Linked DNA regions of Schizosaccharomyces pombe. The gene in region 1 interacts genetically with each later gene. Each region holds a gene or a part of one and is shown in the gene's direction. Other genes may lie near its edges. The genes, in order: mug123, ppk14, pzh1 and irc20.

Region 1 (5,167 bases):
TCTTATCAAGATTAAAACTTACAAACCTATATCTCCTGGTCTTCGTCATTTAAAAAGACCAGTTAGTGATTACCTTTGGAAAGGGAAACCTTTTCGACCTTTGACCGTTGCAAAAAGAAAAAAAGGTGGAAGAAATGAAACAGGAAGAATTACTGTAAGGCATCAGGGTGGTGGACACAAACAACGTATTCGTCTTGTTGACTTTGAAAGAAAAGTACCGGGTGTTCATCGAGTGATTAGAATTGAGTATGACCCTGGTAGAAGTGGTCACATTGCCCTTGTTGAAAAATTGAATTCCGAAACAGCCAACAAAAGTTATATTTTGGCTTGTGACGGGCTTCGCGAAGGCGATACAGTTGAGAGCTTTCGATCGCTTTTGAAGACTGGTTCTAATGGCGAGCCAGTAGAAATGGACCCCGTCCTAGCTGCTGAAATTGAAGATGGAACTTTTGCAGCAAAAAATTTGAAGCCAGGAAATTGTTTTCCTCTCAGATTAATTCCTATAGGAACTGTCATTCATGCCATTGGTGTAAATCCAAATCAAAAGGCAAAGCTATGTCGTTCTGCTGGCAGTAGCGCTCGTATCATAGCTTTTGATGGTAAATATGCTATCGTTCGTCTACAAAGTGGTGAAGAGAGAAAGATTTTGGATACATCATTTGCTACCATTGGTGTTGTAAGCAATATTTATTGGCAACATCGCCAGCTTGGTAAAGCCGGTCGTTCACGTTGGCTTGGCATTCGTCCTACGGTTCGAGGTACAGCTATGAATCCATGTGACCATCCACATGGTGGTGGTGGTGGTAAAAGCATTGGTAATAAACCTTCTCAATCTCCTTGGGGTGTTTTGGCTAAAGGTGGATACAAAACAAGAAGAGGTAAAAATGTTAATAAATTACTCGTCCGCGATCGTCCTCGTGGAAAGGAAAAGCGGTAATCATTTTATTAATGATCTCTGTCTTCATGACTTTTACATTTCTATGTTTTACATTACCGTAATGCATTTCAATTTTCATGATCCCTTCTCCATTTTAATAGTCGATGCTATTACCTATCCATTTGTGGACCAGATGCATTTATGTATAGTTATTTTGTGTCGACCGTCATTTATCGACGAAAAATTTTAAGCATTTTTTAAGAGTTTAGCTCTTACAATTTAAATCTGTATTGGTAATTTTTGTTCATCACAACGTTGCTTAAAGCTAAGGACTATCCCATTCAAAATTGTCGTTTGCTTACATCTACCTTAAAAGGGTTATCGATATCATTCAGGTACCAAAAGAGTATTCTATTAAACGCAGAAAAGAACGGTTTTATTTTAATATGGCCAACTAAATAAAAAAATTTTATTTATAAAATTGTAGCTAATTTAGCATATTAATTTTTTCTTGCCTTCGTCCAGCGAAAAGCGACTTAAAAGCGGATAAACTGGGTATTTAATATTTCTCTACAACACAATTAACGCTTGGAAACCCTGGAACGACGGTCTCTCCTTGATTTGCGTGGCTTGCGTCGAACTTGGAATATTCTTTCCATCAGTGTAAGGTCAGACACTTTAGGACCTAGTCGTTCATCTAATGGCGAACCCCTTTCATCTTGATTTCTACTGTGCGAAAGTGTTAGTAATTTGAATATAAAATTGAGTAAAAGGAGATTCTCAAAAGTAGAGGAAATGATTTTTGAAAAGTATGAGTGCACCCGGACTAATTTGGTTTTCACAAGTTATACCTTTTAGATTTGCTCTTCTGAGCCTTTTCTTCTCGAGGATCACCGTGAAACAGATAATATCTCGAGTAAAGATGTGCGCTTTTAACCTTCTTGTCTCCGTAGCGGGCGTAACGTATTTTGAATTGACACGTCGGTACAGTTGGGTGTGGTTTCGTTTGATATTCCAATTCCTCTGAAAATTCTGTCGGAGACTCCATAATTAAATGAAATAAAGCATTTCGTGAAACATCATCATCCGCATAAACAACGTTGCCTATACGCGGTTATAGAGTTAGACTAACCCTTTGCCAGTTTTCGCTTCTTACATTCGTTATCATTAATCCATTCAATTGTACATTGAGATTCAGGAGCATAAGCTGAAATAAATCCTTTGACTTGTTCTTCTGAAAGATTATCGACGCCAGCTAGATGTAAAGCTGTTTTACGCAATGTAGTATCAGCCACCACTTCCGTTTCTAATGGAGTACTAGTGGCGTCGGGTATCAATGATTCTTCTTCAATCTGAGTCTCTGCAACGATATCCATTTAAATCTACTTCTCTACAACTGCTTCGCAGACATGCAGTTTCCAAAAGAGTGAATGTGCCGTCCAAAGAAAATTACGACGCGCTATAATTTGCTATACGAGAATAACGAGAGATGAAAGATCCCTATAGGCAATGTAATCGGTACAGTCTCCTATAATGAGTGAAGATCGGAAGTCAAATGTAATTTGTATTTAAAATTAAGAAGGAAAATGGAGATTAAATCGGCTTTTTGCATGTAAGGCTCGTTTGTGTAAGAATCTACAGTACGCTAAAGCACATTGAATTGCGTATTGTTATTTACAGAAATTTATGGGATATTACAGTAAAACCTAATAAGATTTACCTCTGGGACACCGTATGTTCGAGAATGAGACATGTAAACATAGCTTCCGCACATTTGCAATTTTCAGTACGAAACATTAATTCTTGCGCTTTTCAAAGATATATGAGCTTTGTTTAATTAGTTTTAGCTGATTGCTTAATCAAATAAAAGATTGTCTATCTTAACACCATTCGTTTTCTAATCCCGGCATTTGTCTGTGAAATTTTTAAAAATTAATTGGAATTACTCTACAAGCAACTTATTCAAAGAAGGAATAAATAGATAATAATCATTACTAGACAGAAGACTAATCGCATGGAACGTTTAGCTACTCGATCGAGCCATGATGATCCATATTCGAGGTCTTCCCTTCCAACTTCGAATGCCATTAATAGCAACCATGAGTCAAATGGTTCTACTTTTTCTTACGTACAGAGTTTACGCCGTGCAAAGGCGACTGTCTGGAGTGATATAGGCCGTGTGGCTCCTTTACACTCTAGCCCATCAATCAAAAGTTCATCACAAAATGGGAAGTCTTCCAGCAAAGGCTTAGGAGGCATGCGCTCAAGGGTATTTTCTAGCCAGCATCATGGTGTTTATCACACCCGTCCTGCTTCGCTTCATTCACGTACAATGGCTCCTCAGCACACCATTCTTACTCCACGATTATCTGCTACCGAAGGTAAGGATGACGATGAGGACGAATTGGTAATTTCGACATCGAATACTGCACCAACATATATCTCAATGATTGAGTCTTCACGTGCCAGCTCAACCCATAGTGGGACTGCACCTTCCATTATGGGAATGTCAATACATTCAAGAGCAGACTCCAGAGCCGAAACTACTCAATCAGACGGCTTTGAATCTCGTAGCGGATCACCTACTCATGATATTCAATCTTATCTTGTCAATCGACGAAGCAGCAGTTCTGAATCTTCAGACGAGGACAGTGCTGAAGAAGGAATGAAACGTCTAGTAATCACAAATATGGGGGACAATGATGAATTCGATAGCGATTAGTGCAGTTATTTTTCCATCGATATCTGATAAAGTATTATTATTTATTATGGTGCTATTCCCTCACCTAGTTTAATTGCTTTAATTCGTTTACTTTTATTCGCATTCTTTGGCATAATCAAGCATTCCTTCCCCTTTCTGTTCTATTACGTATTTCTTTCATTTAAAACCCGGCATTGTCAGCTAGTCTCACATCTTTAATCAAAACATGAAATAAACTATATCAATATTATCATCATTCTATTTTTATTCATTTGAAAGCTATTCGGTGCTTCCTGTTTTAATGTAACATGAATATCAATAACATTTTAATTATAGAACCTATAATGGTTTAGGTAGTGTGGAAAATTGGGTAAATATTTTAAAGTCCGAGATTCATAGATTAAATTGTTCAAAAACAAATATTTTATGCCCAACGAAGACTATTCTAGCAGACCAAGAAGCAATGAGGTATCGTTTTCCTTCATTATCTTTTCAGCCATTAAACTGCCAACGTTCTTCTCAAGAAGACCACTAGCATTTGGCGGAAGAGTTCGTTGATTTGGTAATTGATCATCCCGCAGTAATAGCAAAGCGTCGTACAAAGCATCCATACATTTATTGGCCTCGTAAATCTCCTCTTCATTTCCTTTTTCCAAGGTTTTCCGAACTAGGACTTCGTAAACTTTGATATTGGGAACGACGAGGACTCTAATAGCTTCTTTCCCCATAGTTTTTAAGCCTTTGATGGCACCATAATGAGTGGAATATGGCTTGGTGTTATCCAAAAATGCTTTGAGTGCCGTGCGAGTAACGCGAGGCTTTAATGTATAATACACATTACCAAATCGATCACAAACAATCCCGAGTAAAAAAGCAGCTAAGTCTCTTAGTGCATAATGCTCGTGATTATTAGGATCACTGCCAAGGCGCTTCGCGACCAAACAAGTAAGGATGGATGGCATGAGTTGTTGGACGTAAGGCTCTACAAAAAGGTTGGGGTTATCAAGAAGGGCCCAGGCCATGTGCATTAAAGTAGTAAGAACCACAAGATTTCCTAAGTTTCGAGTTACAGAATCCGATAAAAACATTATGAAGTATGGTAAAAGTTGGTGTAATCCGGGGTCGTCACGTAAACTCGATAGGGCAGCATCACGGAGCTCAACATTAGTTTCATCAAGCAATGCACTGGTAATACGCTCAAAATAAAGCTGTAACTCTTTGGATAGCACATGTCGCACCAACGGTTTTATCTCAACGTTGTCCATCGAAGTGACACCGTTTCGAGCTTCTTTAGCAGCAGTTGAAGCACCTGGCATAACCCCTGAAGTACCCTTGGATGCCCATTCTCCAACTGTGTGATCTGAGGGAGTTGGATTTTGAGGAATGGCTGGCTGCACACCTTCGATGGCCAGCCAGTGTGCACTGTAAGAAATGTTTCTAGGGACTTTAGGGAGAGGAGCGTTTATGATTTTTTCAAAATCCACTTCCTCATCATCAAGGTAGTAAAGGGAATTTTGGCCTGCACCTACAGCGGCTTCATGAAATTCTAATGGACGAGAATTATTGAAGCCGTATAACGGCTCAACATT
Region 2 (4,497 bases), on another chromosome or scaffold:
TTAGCAAGCTATTGAGCACCTCAAATTTAAATAACAAGCCTCTTTCTCTTTCATCAACAGCACCTTCGATGCCTTCAATTGGTTCTGTGGAGTTGGGAAATATGATTCCTAAGGAAACCCAGCCGCCCTCAATGCGAAATGATTGGAAAGATTATTTAGATAATAATTCCAAGGAAATTCTCGATCAATTTGGTTTTTTACAAAAACGACCAAGTCACGACACCCCTTTATGTCCGGAGGACATAAAATTAAATCAGAAACAGACTCTGTCGTTCTATGAAAGCAATTATGGCTTGGTTGATGATTTTTTTGGCAACGAGTTAGATGGGCTCAACGATTCTCCATTGTTGCTAAATAAAAAAGATATTTTATTGGATATGAAAGAAAGTACCCGACAAAAAAACTGGAGCTTGTTTTTTCAACGCTTGTACAAAAAATATAAAATTACCGATGAGGATACAATTGGTTTACTAGGAATATCTAGCATAGGTGTTAAAGGGCGTCATGGTAAAAAAAGATGGCATAAATTTCGTGAACTTGTGAAAAATGGTGTTCCTTTGTGCTATAAAGCTAAAGTTTGGTTAGAGTGCTCAGGCGCTTATCAATTACATTCACCTGGCTATTATGAAGAACTATTATCACGTACTGATGAGGTTGAATCAGCGAGTGTTGCGCAAATCGATATGGATATTAACAGGACTATGGCTAAAAATGTATTTTTTGGAGGAAAAGGACCTGGAATCCCGAAATTACGACGAATTTTAGTTGCTTATAGCCGCCACAATCCACACATAGGCTATTGTCAAGGAATGAATGTTATTGGTGCCTTTCTTCTTTTATTATATGCTTCAGAAGAAGACGCGTTTTATATGCTAATGAGCATAATTGAAAACGTTTTACCTCCGAAATACTTTACTCCTGACCTGATGACTTCGCGAGCTGATCAGCTGGTTTTGAAAAGCTTTGTGAAAGAGTCATTACCGGAAATCTATTCCCATTTAGAATTACTTGGGGTTGATTTGGACGCCATTTCATTTCATTGGTTTTTAAGTGTATATACTGATACACTCCCTACGAATGTACGATAAGTGGTTTTGAAAGATTATTAAAGTATGAATTGTTTACTAACTACTTTTTTTTAGATATCTTTTAGAATATTTGACATGTTGTTTTGTGATGGTTATGTATGCTTATTTAGAGTTGCACTTACGATTCTAAAATCTTTAAAGCAACAAATTTTAGCATGCAATTCCTCTTCTGCCATCTACTCATTTTTGAGTGATTTGGTTCAATACTCTTTTCAACCCGATTCGTTTATTAAAGAGGCTGCTGATCGGTGGTCCAAACTTGTTACGGAAAAGAGTATTGAACGGAAACGTAACTTGGCTATTTCTTCGTTAAACTTAGCGGTCAATTATTGAGTTCTTTGTTTTGTTTTACTGGTTTGATTCGTGATCGTTGGTAAGTTATGATCTTTAATAAATAAAAAAGCTTTTTGTTGCCTCATGGGCATCTTATTCATTTTTATGTTGGGTTACTCATGAATATAATTTTTTAATGTTTTCCATCACTGTATACTATGACTGGGTTATTTTAATGCTGTTTCAGGAGTCCATTTCATTATAATTTGGAAGTATAGAATGTAAAATCTTTTTTGAAAACTCTTGTATGAAGCTAGGCAATCCATGCATAACTTTCACTTATAGTTTTTGATTTGTTTGGTTTAATAAACATAGACAGATTCTTGCTCTTCATATATTTTCCTGTATGCTATATAAACATTGCTCTTACGGTTTGTGAGGTACAACGATCGATAACGCAGTCGGTTATATTTCTAGTATATCATAAGTGTCAGTGTCTCAGTAATGTCATCCGGTGTACTTTCCGCCATACACAAAAATATCAGTGGAATTGAATTGTATTGCGACCGACTCGTAGCACTTTCAAAAGCAAATGAATGAACTTCATGATGGTGAGAGCTCTGAGGAAGGAAGGATCAATGTTGAAGATCACCTAGAAGAAGCTAAGAAAGATGACACAGGACACTGGAAACATTCCGGCACTGCCAAGCCATCCAAGTTTCGAGCCTTCATAAGGCTGCATTTTAAGGATAGCAGAAAGTTTGCTTTTTCTCGAAAGAAGGAAAAAGAATTGACGTCGGAAGATAGCGATGCTGCAAATCAATCACCTTCTGGTGCACCTGAGTCGCAGACCGAGGAAGAGTCTGATCGCAAAATTGATGGCACTGGTAGTTCCGCAGAAGGTGGTGACGGGAGTGGTACTGATTCAATTTCCGTAATAAAAAAATCGTTTTTTAAAAGTGGGAGGAAGAAGAAAGATGTTCCCAAGTCGCGAAATGTTTCTCGTAGTAATGGTGCTGATACCTCAGTTCAGCGAGAAAAGTTAAAAGATATTTTCAGTCCTCATGGGAAGGAAAAAGAATTGGCTCATATTAAGAAAACTGTTGCAACGAGAGCGAGAACATATTCTTCCAACTCTATCAAGATATGTGATGTTGAGGTTGGTCCATCTAGCTTTGAAAAGGTTTTTCTACTTGGCAAGGGAGATGTCGGTCGAGTTTATCTTGTTAGAGAAAAAAAGTCTGGCAAATTTTATGCCATGAAAGTTTTGAGTAAGCAAGAAATGATTAAACGCAACAAAAGCAAACGAGCTTTTGCAGAACAGCACATTCTTGCGACAAGTAACCACCCATTCATTGTTACACTTTATCATTCTTTTCAATCTGATGAATACCTTTATTTATGTATGGAGTATTGTATGGGAGGTGAGTTTTTTCGAGCTTTGCAACGACGTCCTGGCCGTTGTTTATCAGAAAACGAGGCCAAATTTTACATTGCAGAAGTTACCGCTGCATTAGAATACCTCCACTTGATGGGATTTATTTATAGAGATTTGAAGCCTGAAAATATTTTGTTGCATGAGTCAGGACATATTATGCTTTCTGATTTTGATTTATCTAAACAATCAAACTCTGCCGGTGCACCAACGGTAATTCAGGCCAGGAATGCACCATCCGCTCAAAATGCTTACGCATTGGATACAAAATCATGTATCGCAGATTTTCGCACAAATTCATTTGTCGGCACAGAAGAGTATATTGCTCCAGAAGTTATCAAGGGTTGTGGTCATACAAGCGCTGTTGACTGGTGGACTTTGGGTATTTTATTTTATGAAATGCTATATGCCACGACTCCTTTCAAAGGTAAAAATAGAAACATGACTTTTTCGAATATTTTACACAAGGATGTTATATTCCCTGAATATGCGGATGCTCCTTCAATTTCCAGCCTTTGCAAGAATTTGATTAGAAAATTATTAGTGAAAGATGAAAATGATCGCCTTGGGTCACAGGCTGGTGCTGCAGACGTGAAGCTTCATCCTTTTTTTAAAAATGTCCAATGGGCTCTATTAAGGCACACTGAGCCTCCGATTATTCCAAAGCTTGCCCCTATTGATGAAAAAGGCAATCCTAATATTTCCCATCTAAAGGAAAGTAAAAGTTTGGATATTACTCATTCTCCCCAAAACACACAAACAGTTGAAGTTCCCCTATCTAATTTATCGGGTGCAGATCATGGAGATGATCCCTTCGAATCGTTTAATTCAGTTACTGTGCATCATGAGTGGGATTAGGTCATTTTCTTTTCTTCCTGTAACTTGCATATTGATGGTAATTTTTCGCACGTCTATGATATTTTTCTCATCTTTTTGTTTAATCAATCCATTATTAAAAGAGCATTTGCTGACTTCATTCATTGCATATATTGATACGTTGTTGAGGCACAAAATATTTCGCTTAACTAGATTCTCCTTTTCACCACAAAGTCTTTCTTTTTTCTACCTTACTTTTACCAGATTCAGACATGCTTTCTCTATTTTCAATAGGAAGTTAAATAAACTTCTAGACAGAATATAACATATACCATTCTAATAACATATTTTGTAAAATAACCAAAAACCACCTTAACAAAATTACCATTAACTAAACCGTCTCTATATCGTAAACGATATGTGACACTCGTGGTGAAAATGATTTGACACAATTTGTAACACAAACTGTATTTTTAGCCAACATTTTTGAAAAACATGAATTCACTTCAGAAGAGTATGTTTCGATATCTTCATCTTTTACGTTCTCATGAACATGTATAAAGGAATGTGATTCTCGCTTTAAAATTGAAGTAGCGGTTGACCAGGATTTTTCACTAGAGGGGAGCATTCCCAAATTTATATGTCGAGCAGAAATATTCATTTTGGAGAACCTTTCAGCTGCATAAACGTTGCTTTCCAAAAAAACTACAATACGATGAGTTCCTACTTTAAATTCATAGTTTTCTCCATTTCGAACTACATAAATAGACCAGCCATTTTTCAAAGCAGCTCTCCTTAACGCTTCAACACTCCATGGATTAATTTCCCAGCAAAAAACTGTTGAAGCTCCCGCTTTAACGTAAGAAAATGTAAAGTACCCTATAC
Region 3 (6,056 bases), on another chromosome or scaffold:
TGGAGAAGATGTTTCTGAGTTCTCGGATAGCGATTATGACACAAATGAACAGGTGTCAACCGCTTTTGAAAAAATACGAAATGAAGAGGAACCAAAGTTAAAAGGTGTACTGGGCATGAAATTTATGCGTGATGCGTCCAATCGACAAAAGGCTTTAGTGCAAGATGAAATGCAAGCATTCGAAGACGAACTCGCAGGAGTACCCAATGAAGATGATACATCTCAAAAAGGAGAGGACGGGGTTCCTGGAGTATTAATAGGGAATAATACAGGCCGTCGTTCATTTAAGCCTTCCGAAGAAGCTGCAAAATTATCTTTGCCATCAAGGAAAAATCCCTTTGTTTCTGATTCAGCGGTGCTGAAAGTCAACAAACCGGAAATGAAGGAAGGACAAAAGAAGGCCGAAGCTCGAAAAAAAAAGGAATCACCATTAGAAGCAACTGAGGAAACTAATCCATGGTTGCAAGTACCTGACCAAAGGACCTCTTCTGCCAAAAAGTTGGATAAAAACAGCTCTAAGGCAGACAAAAAGAATCACAAGTTAAAAATGGACAAAGTTGCCTCCCTTCAAGAACTTGTCGAAGAACCTAAAGTTCAGCCTGATTTAATTTTTGAAGAAAAGGCTTTTGAATCAGCGTCGGAAGCGGAATCGGATGTTGATGTTTCGGTACCTATGTTAAAGCCAACCAAAGGTCGTTTGTCAATTAAGCAGAGAGAGCTTGTTGCTAAAGCATTTGCTGGCGACGATGTTGTCGCTGAATTTGAAAAGGATAAAGAAGACTGGGTTCAAGAGGATGCACCGAAAGAAGAAGATCATAGTTTGCCCGGTTGGGGTTCATGGGGAGGTGTTGGCGTAAAACAAAGAAAGACTAAGCCTAAGGTTAAAAAAATTGCTGGACTAGATCCGTCAAAGCGGAAGGATTCTAAGCTAAAGCATGTGATTATTAATGAAAAACGCAACAAGAAAGCTGCTAAGCTTACTGCTGATAGTGTTCCGTTCCCATTTGAATCACGAGAACAGTATGAACGATCTCTTAACTTGCCTATGGGACCAGAATGGACTACTCGAGCTTCACATCATAAGGCTGTTGCTCCCAGAGTTGTTACCAAACGTGGTAAAGTCATTAATCCTATTAAGGCACCTAATTAGATTCTTATATGTACATTGAGTTTTGGATTTTTGTTATTAGATTGATATCTTTTGCAGTAGATTAGATACATTTGTAATGGATTTTGGGATATTGGGAAGAAATATATATTTTGAGGTAAATACTTTAAACAAGAAAAAAATTAATTCAATACAAATATATTAATATCATGAGGAAAATTAATTAAAATGGTTATAATTTACTTCGTTTTCTCCCGGAGTAAAGATAAGTGATTATAATTTGTTTCACAGCATCCACCGAGTATCAGGTTTCCATTATGTAGATTTGAGTATTTAGCCGTTATAGTTGACCATTCTTCAGGTGAAGGGGCAGGATGATCTGTTGAGCCAGGTGAAAAAGTACCGTCTGGATTTTGATACAACCCGCGGCCGTCAGGGTACAAAATAGCAGTTATGTTGGATGGTAAAAGACTGGATAGCATTTTTGCGATGGGTTCGAGTAAACTGAGGTGAAAGCAATTAACACCGATGCCCCATATAGAGTCATGATTGATGCTCAGTATCTTGGAGATAATGGACGATACTCGTTCAATAGTGCTGCGCTCAGGGCACGTACAGGTGATCCAGCAACGCTTAGACCAACCTTTCATATCTTGAATGAGTTGGCATACTACTTCTGCTTCAGTCACGTGAGGAAGGCTTTCAAATGCAATGAAGTCAATTTTTTCGAAAGCTTTAGGATTAGATGCTTGAATGGCTTCAATTCTGTTTTTATGAAAATTGTATAGCATTTCAAAATCGGTGGGTTTATCATAAATCATTTTGTATTCCATACATCCAGGAATAGTAGCAGCATGACTTCCGAGACATAAAGCAATATATTTGTTGGGCAAACCCAAATGTTCTCTAGCATAAACAGGTAACCCAATGCTGTTTGCGTAAACCTGTTTTAATGGTACACCTTCTACCTTTTCGTCGTAGATAGAAGCATCCAGTTGATAAGTGAAAGTACTAATAATGTCGCAAACTTTTAAAAATTCTTCATGATGCTTAACAACGATCTCTGGATAACGCACCAGTGCTTCAGAGGTCCATAATCTAGACTCAGATATACTTTCAGGAAGCTTTGGAAGAATGGCAGTAGAGCCACCGTCTAACATAAGCATTTTGGAAAACTCAAAAATTGGGAAAAATAGTTCAACGAACAGCAAAAATGGTATCTCAGGTTATACACTAGTATTAACAGATGTAACTGCCTTTTGATGGATATTACAACAGTTTAGAGAATATCGCACAATCAGAAACCCAATCGACCCAAAACAAAAACATTTGAGTAAGAATCAGACTAGTATATAACGTAACGCGAAATTTTTCCATATTTAATTTAACGTTAATTTACGTGGATCAATTGCGCCTTTTATTTTACTTTGGAATACACTGCAGTTATTATACAGTAAGTGCGCCATCATCGTTGCACCACACTAGATGGACCCAGCGAGTTCAGTTCTCGAGTAAGATGGAACGGGCTACTACGTCTATCAGATTTATACTACACTTCCCATCACTTGTTAACCCATTCTTCACCACGACCTTACAAATTTTTAAACGATTGTGTTTTGTCAGCAAAGCAAAACATTTTTATAGACCAGGATTACTTGAAGAAGAGAAAATCTACTAATTTACGGAAAATATCGAAAAATAGAAAAAATCTAGGTACAATTGGGAAACCTTTTAATTTTGGCACTAAATGCAAGCAACGAAGTCTCGATTTTGAAGTAAAAAAGAAAATAAAAATAGAACAAAGTGGAATAGTTTCCCGGAATCTACCATTAATTGAAATACAATGGGACAGGGGAGCAGTAAACACGCCGACAGCAAGCTCGATTCCTACCCATCCTTTTCTCGGTCAGACACTCAAGGATCCATTAAGTCTTTAAAGTCTCTGAAAACAGTCCTGGGGAAGGGCAAAGACTCGAATCATGATCGCCGAACGTCTACTGATACAACCCATAGTCGTCACCGGTATCCCGAAACACCACCAAGCCTTCCTCCTCCTCCTTCTCCTGGGATATTAGCTACATCTCCGGCTGTGTTGCAAAAGCATCAACAGGAGGATTCGGGAAATTCTTCTCAATCTCCGACGTCGCCGCATCCTTCTAACCAGCCTGCCATGCTTAGTCCCTCTACGGCCGCTTCCCAGCATCATCATCATCATTCTTCTTCTTCTTCTTATGCCGTTTCTCCAACATCACCTACCTCACCAACCAGCTCTGGCCCAATTGGCTCCAACTTTGATTCAGCTTCTGAGCATAATGGTCCTGTGTATCCACAAGATCAGCAGGGGCCCGTAATTATCCCTAATTCGGCAATTTCTTCTACGGATCCTGATGATCCTGAAACAGTTGTTAGCCTTAACGTAGATGAAATGATTCAAAGATTGATCCATGTTGGCTATTCTCGAAAAAGTAGTAAAAGTGTGTGTCTAAAGAATGCTGAAATTACCAGCATTTGTATGGCCGTACGAGAAATATTTCTTTCGCAGCCGACACTTTTAGAATTGACCCCGCCGGTGAAAATCGTTGGTGACGTTCATGGTCAATATTCCGATTTAATTCGACTGTTTGAAATGTGTGGGTTTCCTCCGAGCTCTAATTATTTATTCTTAGGCGATTATGTCGATCGTGGTAAGCAGAGTCTTGAAACCATCCTCTTGCTCTTTTTGTACAAGATCAGATATCCAGAAAACTTTTTCTTGCTACGGGGCAATCATGAATGCGCTAATATCACTCGCGTTTACGGTTTTTACGATGAGTGTAAAAGACGTTGCAATATCAAAATTTGGAAGACTTTCATAAACACCTTTAATTGCTTACCCATTGCGTCCGTTGTAGCCGGTAAAATTTTTTGCGTTCATGGTGGTCTTTCTCCATCGTTAAGTCATATGGATGACATACGGGAGATTCCTCGTCCTACTGACGTTCCTGACTATGGATTGCTGAATGATTTGTTATGGTCAGATCCTGCTGATACTGAAAACGATTGGGAAGATAATGAACGAGGTGTTTCTTTTGTTTTCAACAAAAACGTTATCCGGCAATTTTTGGCCAAGCACGACTTTGATTTAATCTGTCGTGCTCACATGGTTGTTGAAGACGGTTATGAATTTTTTAATGACAGAACTTTATGTACGGTGTTTTCTGCCCCTAATTACTGTGGGGAATTTGATAATTGGGGGGCCGTGATGAGTGTTAATTCAGAGCTGCTTTGTTCCTTTGAACTTATAAAGCCTCTCGACCAGGCAGCAATTCGACGAGAATTAAAAAAGAGCAAGCGTAGTGGTATGGCTATTTATCAATCTCCCCCTGCTGAGCAGGTTACCCAAAGCGTGTAAGCATTCTATTTTTTCTATTTTGGTCTCCATTTGAAATTATCTAGCGGTTTTATTGGGACACTATTTTATTCTCTTAAATGAGTATTATCTGTTATTATGTTATAGTCACTATGGTGATGGATCAAGTCCTTGGTTCACTTTATCGGTTCGAGGGCAATTCCATCCTGACACGTTTAGTATAAGTTTCTGTTTCTTTTAATAAAAACACAATCATTTCCATATAGTGACAGTTAACTTGCTTTTTATTTTTGCTAACCGACACCTGCTGAACATCGAAAGAGTAGGTAAAAAATTTACATGAGGAGGAAATAAACAATTATTATAGTATTATTATTAGCATTAAATAAATTTAAAGCGAAAATGTATCCATTTCTTTGTAAATCTTCTATCAATTACTAATCTCCCATACGATGGGCTTAAAACAACACTTTGAAAACTAAAGTTGAATGTGGTATCGTACTTAAGTACTTCTTTCCATGATCCATTTGTGATAAGTATTTTGGTTTCCTTATTGTATAATGAGTAAGCTACTTTTGTTGCATAATGCTGCCAAGTAGGCAGTTCTTTGATAAATCTCCTGCGTTGTTTTGTTTGTGTCAGCTTTTTCGTTCAATCAAGATATTTTATCACATTATTTCAAGGTTCAATGAATCATTCGAAGAATAGTAACGAATTCAGATATATTAAATAAAGGCACACATAATCTCTAAAGATTACAGTTTAATGGCTCTTTCAAAGTGTTTAGTAATATATACACTAAATTTCTAAAATTCAGTAGTTATGGCGAAGTGGCCGAGTGGTCTATGGCGCTAGCTTCAGGTGAAAGCAATTGCTAGTCTACGTATGTGGGCGTGGGTTCGAACCCCACCTTCGTCAATATAATTTTTTATATCATGTTAATGGAATTGAGAAAAAGCAAGCTGTCAGTTTATACTTTCAATGTTATGCAGAAACCGTTTTATTTCAATTATTTACACTGTTTGACACTACTAAAGCAGAGTTAATTGTAATGAGACATAACGGTACATGGTGCTTCGACTTTCATAACCATTAAAGAAAAGAAGAATGTCTTGATTTTGGCTTATTTAAAGACCCATTGTGACTGGAAAAACAAATGACCCTACGTAGTAAAGGGTAAAATGAATTTTTTTTAATTTTTTTTTTAGATTCAATGTAGAAATATAATCGATTATCAGATTCATTGTCATGCCTGATAATCCATGTATGATACTATGCAAAGATATAAAGAGAATTTTCTTCTTTTTTAAAAGTTGTTTTAAAGATAGAGGATGTTGTTTTTAAGCTGCTGAAACTGAATAATATAAGAAATCTAACGAGCAAGAGAATGCTCGACTTATGTTTACAATATTATATAGCTAAATATCTTAAGTTCTTATTATATAACTTTATACAGTACAATGATACTTTTCAATATTATATAAGTATTTACCTCTTTTGATCAGATACAAAGTATCTTTCAAGAGAGCTTGTTTTCTACTGACTGTTTCGTCTTTAAAATAAGTTGATTGGGAATAAATTGTATTAATTTTTTTTATC
Region 4 (8,804 bases), on another chromosome or scaffold:
GAAGATGGGCATCGTTAGCTATCACATCCAATGAATCGCAAGTAGGACCCCAAATAAAACAACGATGTTGGCCGGTGCCAACCAAATCATTGTACACAAACCGACTTCCACACTTTAGAACTCGAGCAACTGGATGTTGATGGTCAAACAAAATACAATTAAGGCTACCATAAACACCATCGTTTACGTAATACATCACCTTCTCTTCATCATCAAGCTTCCGTTTGGCAATTACATTGACAGCCAAAGTAAACGAAGAAGAGACGAAAAAGCGACCGGGCTCAGAAATAACACGGATGGAGGGATCAAAATAAGTATCCAAGGCAGAGCGAATAAGGTCTGCTACGCCATCAAAGCTGTCATTCATGAAACCACCACCAATGTCCAACAAGTCAAAATTAAATCCCCTTTCAAGTCCCTGATCAAATACCTGACGAGATCGTTGGATAGCATCCAAAAATGCTGAGGGATCATAGCTTCCTGACCCAACGTGAAAGCTAACACCGACGACATTTAACTCCAGGGACTTTGCGATGTCTAGCAGCTTACCAGTATCATCGAGAGAAGCACCAAACTTTAGACTGAGACGGCAAAGACTATTGGAATCATCGGTAGAAATACGAAGAAGAAGACGTGAGTTGGGATGATGTTGTTTCACCTTGTACAGCTCATCGGCATTATCAAAAGTCATCAGATTAATGCCTTTAGAAGCAGCATAGCGCACATAAGTTATGGCTTTACAAGGATTGGCGTATACAATTCGATCAGGGGATACACCTAAGCCAAGAATTTGTTCGAGTTCACCCTTAGAAGCACAGTCAAAACCAGTTCCAAATTTATTAAGCAATGCAAGTACCTTAGGATCAGGATTACATTTGACTGCATAAAATGGTTGAACACGAGGTAATTTAGCATGCCAACGAAGAAGTTGGCGATATACTCCGTTCAAATCAGCAACAAAAAATGCATCAGAGTCAGCGGGTTCACCACGGACAGCTGCACGCTCAATTTCCTCAATCGTGTTTTTAAACGCCTCACCAATCGCCTGGCGAGACGATCCAGGCGAAGACCATGTCACCACTGAGTCAATTGGTTTAACATGGCCAAGTAATTCCGTCGTACGCAACGACTCGCTGACGAGCATATTCTTTTCCATAATAGCAGGCATCGTGTAAGTAAGCTTTTTCTCTTCTAGAAATTCCGAGATCACTAAATTGAATCGTTGAATAATTTTTCTTCGGATACAAGCTAAACAAACGTTTTGTTTGTCAACTGCTCGCTTTACAATAATTTTACTATTTCAAATCAATCAATGATTTGAAATCTGCTGTTGATCAAAAAGTCCTTATTCGAGAGATTGTCTTAAATAGGAGACGTAGACGGAAATTTGCACTTTTATATACTTTTGGTGGTCGCGCAAAAAGAGCGTTTATCCTTCCAGATTCTTTTTCTTACCCACTTGTCACTGTTTTCTGCTAATTCCCAATCGTGTTGTTGGTTAAGGGTAAGTTCAATTTTGCAATGTGTGCGTACATAAAAAAATATTACACACTAGTAGAATTAACCTTAGTTTAGCGTTTGTCTTATTGACATAATAGTCTAACAAATCGAATTGCAATGTAATACGGTAAACGCAGTTTGGTTTAACAATATTTGCGACGACAAGAATCCTTCAAACTAGGATATTTCTTTAATATGTATACAATCTTTAGTTTATATTTTGTACTTTAGTTTATGACAATAACAATAATCTTTGTCCAGTGAAGGTGACATCACTTTTAAAAACTTTCCTACCAGTTTACGTTTTATTTAGAATTTATATTTTTTTGCTAATTGAATTAAACTTGGTAATCGATATATACTTAAAGGATGAGCACAGTGTTTTAGCAATAAGGAATAGTGTGTTTGTACAATACCGAGTAAAAAGGGCTCTTTCTTTTAGCCAGCAAATGAGATATTAAGTGTATCGGTAATTTTAATAGTATTTACAATTTACTTACTAATTAACGTAGATGTTATTTCTTAGGTAATTTTGAGTTCTAATTCGTGTTTGTACTGATTCAACCGTGAATAATAGAATTCCCTTACAAACGATTTATCGATATTTACCTTGTCGTACTTTTAAACCAAAAAAAAAAAGAGGGAAGAAAGGTGGGGAAAAAATACCAAAGTAATATTCGACTCTGCAAGCTTTAGCAAAAAAAAAGTGGCACATGTTTTAATCAAGACACTTTTTGCCCACAACTAAGAACAAAAGCACATAACACAATGCCTACCCTTTTGTGTTCTTGAGGGTTTATATATTTTCGTTTATTTCTTTGTACATTAAAGAATTCTATTCATTCTAAAATTTTTAAGTCTATTGGTTCAAAACACGACTGTATTTAATTAAGAGAGGGAACATTATGGACCGAACTAAGAGGCGAAAAATAGAGAAGGAGGCTTCCTTACTAAATGAAAGAAACAACCTTTTGGAAAGTGATTTCGCCAATTGCTACCGTGCATTCCAGCACCAACTCAAGCTAGACCAGCAGATATGGCGTGGACCAGAGGACGAGTTAAATCGGCTAAAGTCTACTATTTATCCTGTCGTTTTTTGGGTTGATGGATCTGAGAAACTACATGCATATAGTTTTACTCAAAGAAAAATTTCATTGGCCAAAAACTTGATTCCTTTGTTTTCTGTCGACTTGAATAAGGATACTTACTCTGCTTTAAAAGCACCTCTCAAAATTTGGAGTAAGCTTTGGGAGGATAATAGGCGGCTGAAGAAAATTATAAAATACACATCTTATGTTACTGTAAAAGGATCCGAGTTAATTTTGTCGTTTGGCATTTCCATACTCGACTCTTTTCTTGCCCCTCAAGATGCGATTCTTTCATCTGGATCATCTTCCTCATACACTGCTTTACTAGACTATACGTTCCTTCCGTCTGAAGATGAGGAATATTCTTGTTTAGATATTAACACTGCACTATTTTACGATTGTGCAAGAAAATTGGCAAAAAGCCTACGTTTCGCCAATGTATCACGCGATCCAAGGCTTTCTTCGGAACTTTTACCATTTCAAATGCGTGTTTTAGAATGGATGAAACGAAGAGAAGAAGAGAAATTCCTAACCTCAAATGATTTACCACCTCTATGGTACCATTGCAAAAGTCTTTTTGATGATCGAATGGTTTACGTTAATCATGTTTACGGCTATATGACATTTTCGAAAGAAAAAACATATTTGCTTGCGTCCGGTGATATACGTGGAGGCATTTTAGCCGATGAAATGGGCATGGGAAAAACTTTGGAAGTCTTAGGATTAGTTTTGCATCATCAGTTGCCAATTTCTTTGACTGATACTTGTACTTTCGATCAGGTCGTCGGAAAAAATGTAAAGTATTCCAAGGCCACCCTAATAATTACGCCTTCTACAATTCTCGATCAATGGTTATCTGAGATAGATTTGCATGTGCCATCATTGAAAGTATTCCATTACCAAGGAATCCGAAAATCCAATGGTTTGAAATCAGCTAAAATTTTTTTGGATTGTGATATAGTGGTAACATCTTATTCTGATTTACGGTTTGAGCTATTGTACACTGAATCTCATTCCAGGACCTTAAGACATGAAAAGCGACATGTTTCTCCAAAGTCTCCATTGATTGATGTATGTTGGTGGAGAATTTGTGTTGATGAAGCTCAGATGGTTGAAACTTCACAGAGTAATGTCGCACAAATGATTTATCGCATACCTCGTGTCAATTGTTGGACTGTAAGTGGAACTCCCGTACGTAGTGAAGTTGATGACCTTTTTGGCCTTTTATTTCTTCTTCGCTACTCCCCTATGTATTTATACAAAAAACAAGCTTGGATGCAAATTATAGAGAAGAAACGTGTTCGTGAATTTTGCGATCTGTTTGGCTCCCTTGTATGCAGACATTCTAAACAGGACGTTGAAGAAGAATTAAAATTACCTCCTCAACATCGAATCTGCATGACTACAAGACTTAGTGTAGTAGAAGAAACGAACTACCAGGATTTATTATCAGAGGCGGCCAAGTCTTTGCACTTTTTCAAAGACAGAAATTTGGATTTGTGTGACGAAGAATCTATGAGGCGTTGGTTGGTTCGTTTACGACAGGCATGTTGCCATCCGCAGGTTGGATTTGGTAACAAATCCGCATTTGGAGGTGGACCCATGAAAAGCATTAATGATGTATTAGTTTTTATGTTGGAACAAACAAACTCTACATTCTCCTCGTTAAACAGGAAGCTTTATTCCGATAAGATTATTGTTGGTCAAATATATGATCATATTAAAGACTATAATAAAGCATTGGCTATTTGGTCTGAAGTCAGAATACCTGTCGAGCTCGCTGTCAAAGAATTAGAAAATGTTATTTACAACTCTAAATATGAGGACCATGGTAAAAATTTACCGATTAATTATTTTGGTTTGGATCATTTCATTCATCTGCGTGTTTGGTATGTTCTATTGCATAAAATATACTTTTTTATAGCAAGCGCTTATTTTTCTTTAAAAAACGAAAAGTTTGAAAATGAATTTTATTTGCTCGCGCAGGATTTAAGAAGGAAGATTATGAGTGATGTGATTATCAAAACCAGCAAGCACCTTGAAGAGTTTTCAGAAAAATTTATTCCAAAGAAACTTGTCAAAATACCACGATTACAGAAATCTTACGCAAAAGGTCTCATAACCGGACATGGTATAATTGAAGACTATAATAGACTTTATAAAGAGTTGAATGATCAAAAGGAGGTGCTTATAAAATTTAGAGATCGGCTTATCCATTTGATGAAACTTCCACTTCTGGATCAAGAATCGGATCCGACCGGCGATGAATACGAAGAATCATTGAATGCGCAATCAGAGATATCCTATTGTATTGATGTTTACCGTCAAATGCTTTCAGATCGAGTAGCGGCAGTCAGCGGTACTATTAATACCTTTGTGTCTCATGAAACAGAACTTGAGAAATACAAACTTATAGAGAGTATAAAAAAATCGGAGAAATCGTTAGACAAGCAGGCTGAAGAACGTGATAAAAAATATTTGCTTTACTTTGAGGAAAGGGAAGAAGCAAGGCCAAAAGCAGATCAATACGGATCATTAATAAATATAGTTTCAAGACTGTTAGATGCATCAAATAGATCCACCTCAAGTTTTGAAACTTCTAAAAACATGGAAGAATATGAACGGATTGATGCAATGGCAAAGGAGCAATCTAGAATTTGCCAAAAATTGGAAAAAGAATTGAGTATAATTCAGTTGACTTATAATTCAAGGATTGAGTACTATAAACAGCTGCAGGAAATTTCTGACTCTTTGATGCCTCCTCCCGTTTCAAATATCAGTTTAAACAATTACGTTAAAGACGACGAAAAAAAACAAAAATTTTTGAACTCTGTTATAATTAAAGCTTCGGTGATTTTGGAAAAAGAAATTTCAGAAAAGCAGGACGAAGCAAGTCAAACAACAAACGTAGCAGAACTCGTCAATCAAAAAATATCCGAAATGAATATACCTGGACATATCCATCTGCTGCGAGAGCTAGAAGAGGAAAAAAGCAATACCCAACGTAAAATTGCTCACTTCGAATCAAGGAGAAGGTATTTAACAAACCTATATGAACATATTGTCCTTAAAGCTGAATCTCATCAGATTTGTATAATTTGTCGTGATATAATTAAGCAAGGTTTTATAACAACTTGTGGTAAGTATTTGTTGGATCGTTTATCTAGTTAACTTGTTAGGCCATTTGTACTGTAGTTTTTGTTTGGAAGCGTGGTTGAAGCATAGTTCGTCGTGTCCAATGTGCAAAACCAAATTGAACAAAAATAATGCTTACTATATTGGCGAAAGTAGGGATATATACTCTCGTCAAGAGTTTGTCACTGGTTTCAACAAACGAGACGAAAGGCTTGAAATTCTCGACGATGAAGCATACAGGCAAATTTCTAATATGGAGTTAAAGGAGTCATTTGGATCAAAAATTGACACAATATCTAAACATCTTTTGGTAAGCAACATTTGTATTTAGAGTGGATCTAACTTTAGTATTTGAAACATAACGAACTTTATCCTAAAGTTGTTGTATTCTCTCAATGGCTTGATGTTTTGGATGTTTTGCACAAGTCATTTGAAGCGAATGGTATCGTCTTCATACGTTTTGATGGAAAGTCAAAGAACACTTGCCTAAAAAGGTTTAAAGAAGAACGTAGCTTACAAGTACTTACTTTACATGCAAGATCGCAATCGTATGTTTAAACTGTTTAATTATTTGTTCTAATCTTCATTAGATCTGGTTTGACGTTAACAAATGCCACTCACGTTTTCATGTGTACGTCGATATCTGTATTAACAAGTTTTAACATTGACAGGTGAACCATTACTAAATAGTGGAATTGAAATGCAAGCAATTTCACGCGTTCATCGAATTGGGCAAACTCGTCCGACGTTTGTTTACTACTACATTGTGGAAGATACTGTTGAAGGTCATATTTTAAATCTTTCATTGACCAAACATGAGCAGCTTGACAAACTAGGTTTGGATGTACCGCTAGTTGGTAATATCAATCGCACTACTGAAGCTAGCAGCGGCGGAGAACAAGTTGATGCCGCAGAAATTAAAGATTGTCTTAAAATGGCTTTAAAGCGGCTCACCACAGAGGATTCATGAACATGAAAAAATTGATTTTAGAGAATGATGCTGATAGGTCAGGTTTAAACAGAATAAACGGCAATACTGTACTACTTATTGGTGACAGTGATGTATGGTTAATCCTGAAGTACCCCTTCGCTCAATACTGTTCAATTATTCATCTGTTATTAAAGCAAAGCACGAAGCATTAGTTGGTTTTCACTGGTTAGATTGTGCAAACACTTAGAGTCCGAATTACAGGAAACTTATACTTAATTTAACATTGTACTGTTGTATTAATTATAACCACTTTTTTAAATACAAACCTATGTAAATATTAGAAATTAATATAGCAAGAAAGGTCGCATTTCTCATTCTGGGTATTGGATTAAAACATATTGTCTTTGTTTTTCATTGATATCAGCGATGTTACTGGGCTATTAAATGCGATGTTAATTTATAACTATAACTATAGAATGAACATACGTTTGTGCTACGAATATACACTCGTTGTTATTAAGTTATCTTTTTTTTTTTAATAAAAATGAACAGGACTATTTGAACTATGAAACGTAAGTTCTTTTAGCATCATATTCAATTATAGTTAAACAAAATTGTTTATTACTATTAAAATAACACTGATTATCTTTGGAGACATACTTTATATCAAATTACAATAATTATTAATAAAACTCATTGCAATTTATTTTTCTCAACTGCGTTAGCTAATTCACTGCTACGCGATATAACTAATTAACGATTGCTGCTTCAGCTCGATAATTCCTTTTCGTCAAGGATACATTGCGATATAGTCTTAAGAGAGCAAACTGCATAAAGCCGGCTTTGGGATATATTTAACTGACTGTTGAATTATAAATTGTCATGGTGTTTGAAAGGACACTAATTGACCTAATTAAAGGGATAAGATCTCATGCAAATGATGAGGAAGCATTTATTGCGACTTGTTTACTAGAATGTCGAAAAGAAGCGACATCGCAGGATGCAGATCTTAAATCAGAAGCAATCTTAAAGCTTGCATATGTTCGTTCAACTTTATTTATAAAGTTACTAACAAAAGTAGCTGGAAATGTTAGGGGTGGATATTAGCTGGGCCAGTTTCCAAATCGTTGAGGTAATGTCTTCATCTAAAATTCTTCAGAAGCAGAAAGGGTATCTAGCTGCTGTCCAGTCTTTTAAACCAGATACAGACGTTTTAATGTTAACGACTAATTTGCTTAAGAAGGTATGTTTTTTTTTAATCTGTAAGTATTTACAAAGCTGACGGTTTTATTAGGATCTAATGAGCTCTAAAGTTCCAGAAATTACTCTGGCCATTGACGGTCTCTCACACTTCTCTACATTAGGCCTTGCGCGTGATTTATACCGAGACGTATTGATTCTTTTAAATCATTCCGTACCGTACGTAAGGAAACGTACAATTTTACTCCTATATCGACTATGCTTGCAGTATCCTGAAGCTATTTCAGCTTGCATTCCAAAATTACGTGAACGATTAGACGACCCTGACACTTCCGTTGTAAATGCTGCTGTCAGTGTAATTTGTGAATTAGCGAGAAGAGCTCCTAAAAATTACCTCGAGTTTGCTCCTGATCTTTTCCATCTTCTTACAACTTCCTCAAATAATTGGATGCTCATAAAGCTTATCAAATTATTTGCTTCCTTGACTCCATATGAACCTCGATTGGTGAAGAAATTGATTCCTTCTTTGACAGACATTATTGAGAATACACATGCGATGTCACTTTTATATGAGTGTATCAACACAATAGTTTCCGGTAATATGCTTGTGGGTCACTCTCAATGCGACAAATTGGCAAGCCTTTGTGCTTCAAAATTACGCGGCTTTTTTGAGGACACTGATCAGAATTTAAAATACATCGCTCTTCTTTGTCTTCGTAAGCTTGCAAATACGCATCCTTCCCTTGTTTCTGCTCAATTGGACATCATTCTTAAATGTCTGGTCGATACTGACACTTCAATTCGTTTGCGAGCTTTAGACCTTGTTAACGAAATTGTTAACAAAGAAAATATCCGTACTATCGTTAAAACTTTAATGCTCCAATTAATCGTTTCGTCGGATGAATCAGCAGTTGAAGATATTAGAAACTCAACTGCGACGCGTATAATCG

What was found.
Region 2: mutations in mug123 (region 1) and ppk14 together harm fitness more than expected from each alone (negative genetic interaction), as found in Schizosaccharomyces pombe (one large-scale study listed by BioGRID).
Region 3: mutations in mug123 (region 1) and pzh1 together harm fitness more than expected from each alone (negative genetic interaction), as found in Schizosaccharomyces pombe (one large-scale study listed by BioGRID).
Region 4: mutations in mug123 (region 1) and irc20 together harm fitness less than expected from each alone (positive genetic interaction), as found in Schizosaccharomyces pombe (one large-scale study listed by BioGRID).

The regions. Positions count from the first base shown.
Region 1 is NC_003421.2:696,147-701,313, forward strand, and holds mug123 (protein mug123), read left to right. Parts: upstream 1-2,638; 5' UTR 2,639-2,891; coding exon 2,892-3,599; 3' UTR 3,600-3,918; downstream 3,919-5,167. Other genes in the region: rml2 (mitochondrial 54S ribosomal protein uL2m), read left to right, coding at 11-937; RNA cap binding protein cbc3, read right to left, coding at 1,459-1,606, 1,729-1,981, 2,034-2,253; TATA-binding protein-associated factor TAF6, read right to left, coding at 4,019-5,167. UniProt on the Schizosaccharomyces pombe protein: Involved in sporulation and has a role in meiosis.
Region 2 is NC_003424.3:768,670-773,166, forward strand, and holds ppk14 (serine/threonine protein kinase Ppk14), read left to right. Parts: upstream 1-1,870; 5' UTR 1,871-1,953; coding exon 1,954-3,654; 3' UTR 3,655-3,997; downstream 3,998-4,497. Other genes in the region: SPOM_SPAC4G8.04 (GTPase-activating protein), read left to right, coding at 1-1,079, 1,143-1,421; tRNA 4-demethylwyosine alpha-amino-alpha-carboxypropyltransferase Trm12, read right to left, coding at 4,004-4,497.
Region 3 is NC_003424.3:1,526,407-1,532,462, reverse strand, and holds pzh1 (serine/threonine protein phosphatase Pzh1), read left to right. Parts: upstream 1-2,690; 5' UTR 2,691-2,951; coding exon 2,952-4,499; 3' UTR 4,500-4,898; downstream 4,899-6,056. Other genes in the region: U3 snoRNP protein Utp14, read left to right, coding at 1-1,150; SPOM_SPAC57A7.07C (homocysteine methyltransferase), read right to left, coding at 1,348-2,274.
Region 4 is NC_003424.3:4,656,851-4,665,654, forward strand, and holds irc20 (ATP-dependent DNA helicase), read left to right. Parts: upstream 1-2,246; 5' UTR 2,247-2,405; coding exon 2,406-5,727; intron 5,728-5,746; exon of another isoform or gene 5,747-5,767; coding exon 5,768-6,033; intron 6,034-6,071; coding exon 6,072-6,271; intron 6,272-6,313; coding exon 6,314-6,354; intron 6,355-6,394; coding exon 6,395-6,693; 3' UTR 6,694-6,993; downstream 6,994-8,804. Other genes in the region: ornithine decarboxylase Spe1, read right to left, coding at 1-1,168; AP-3 adaptor complex subunit Apl5, read left to right, coding at 7,537-7,695, 7,736-7,897, 7,949-8,804.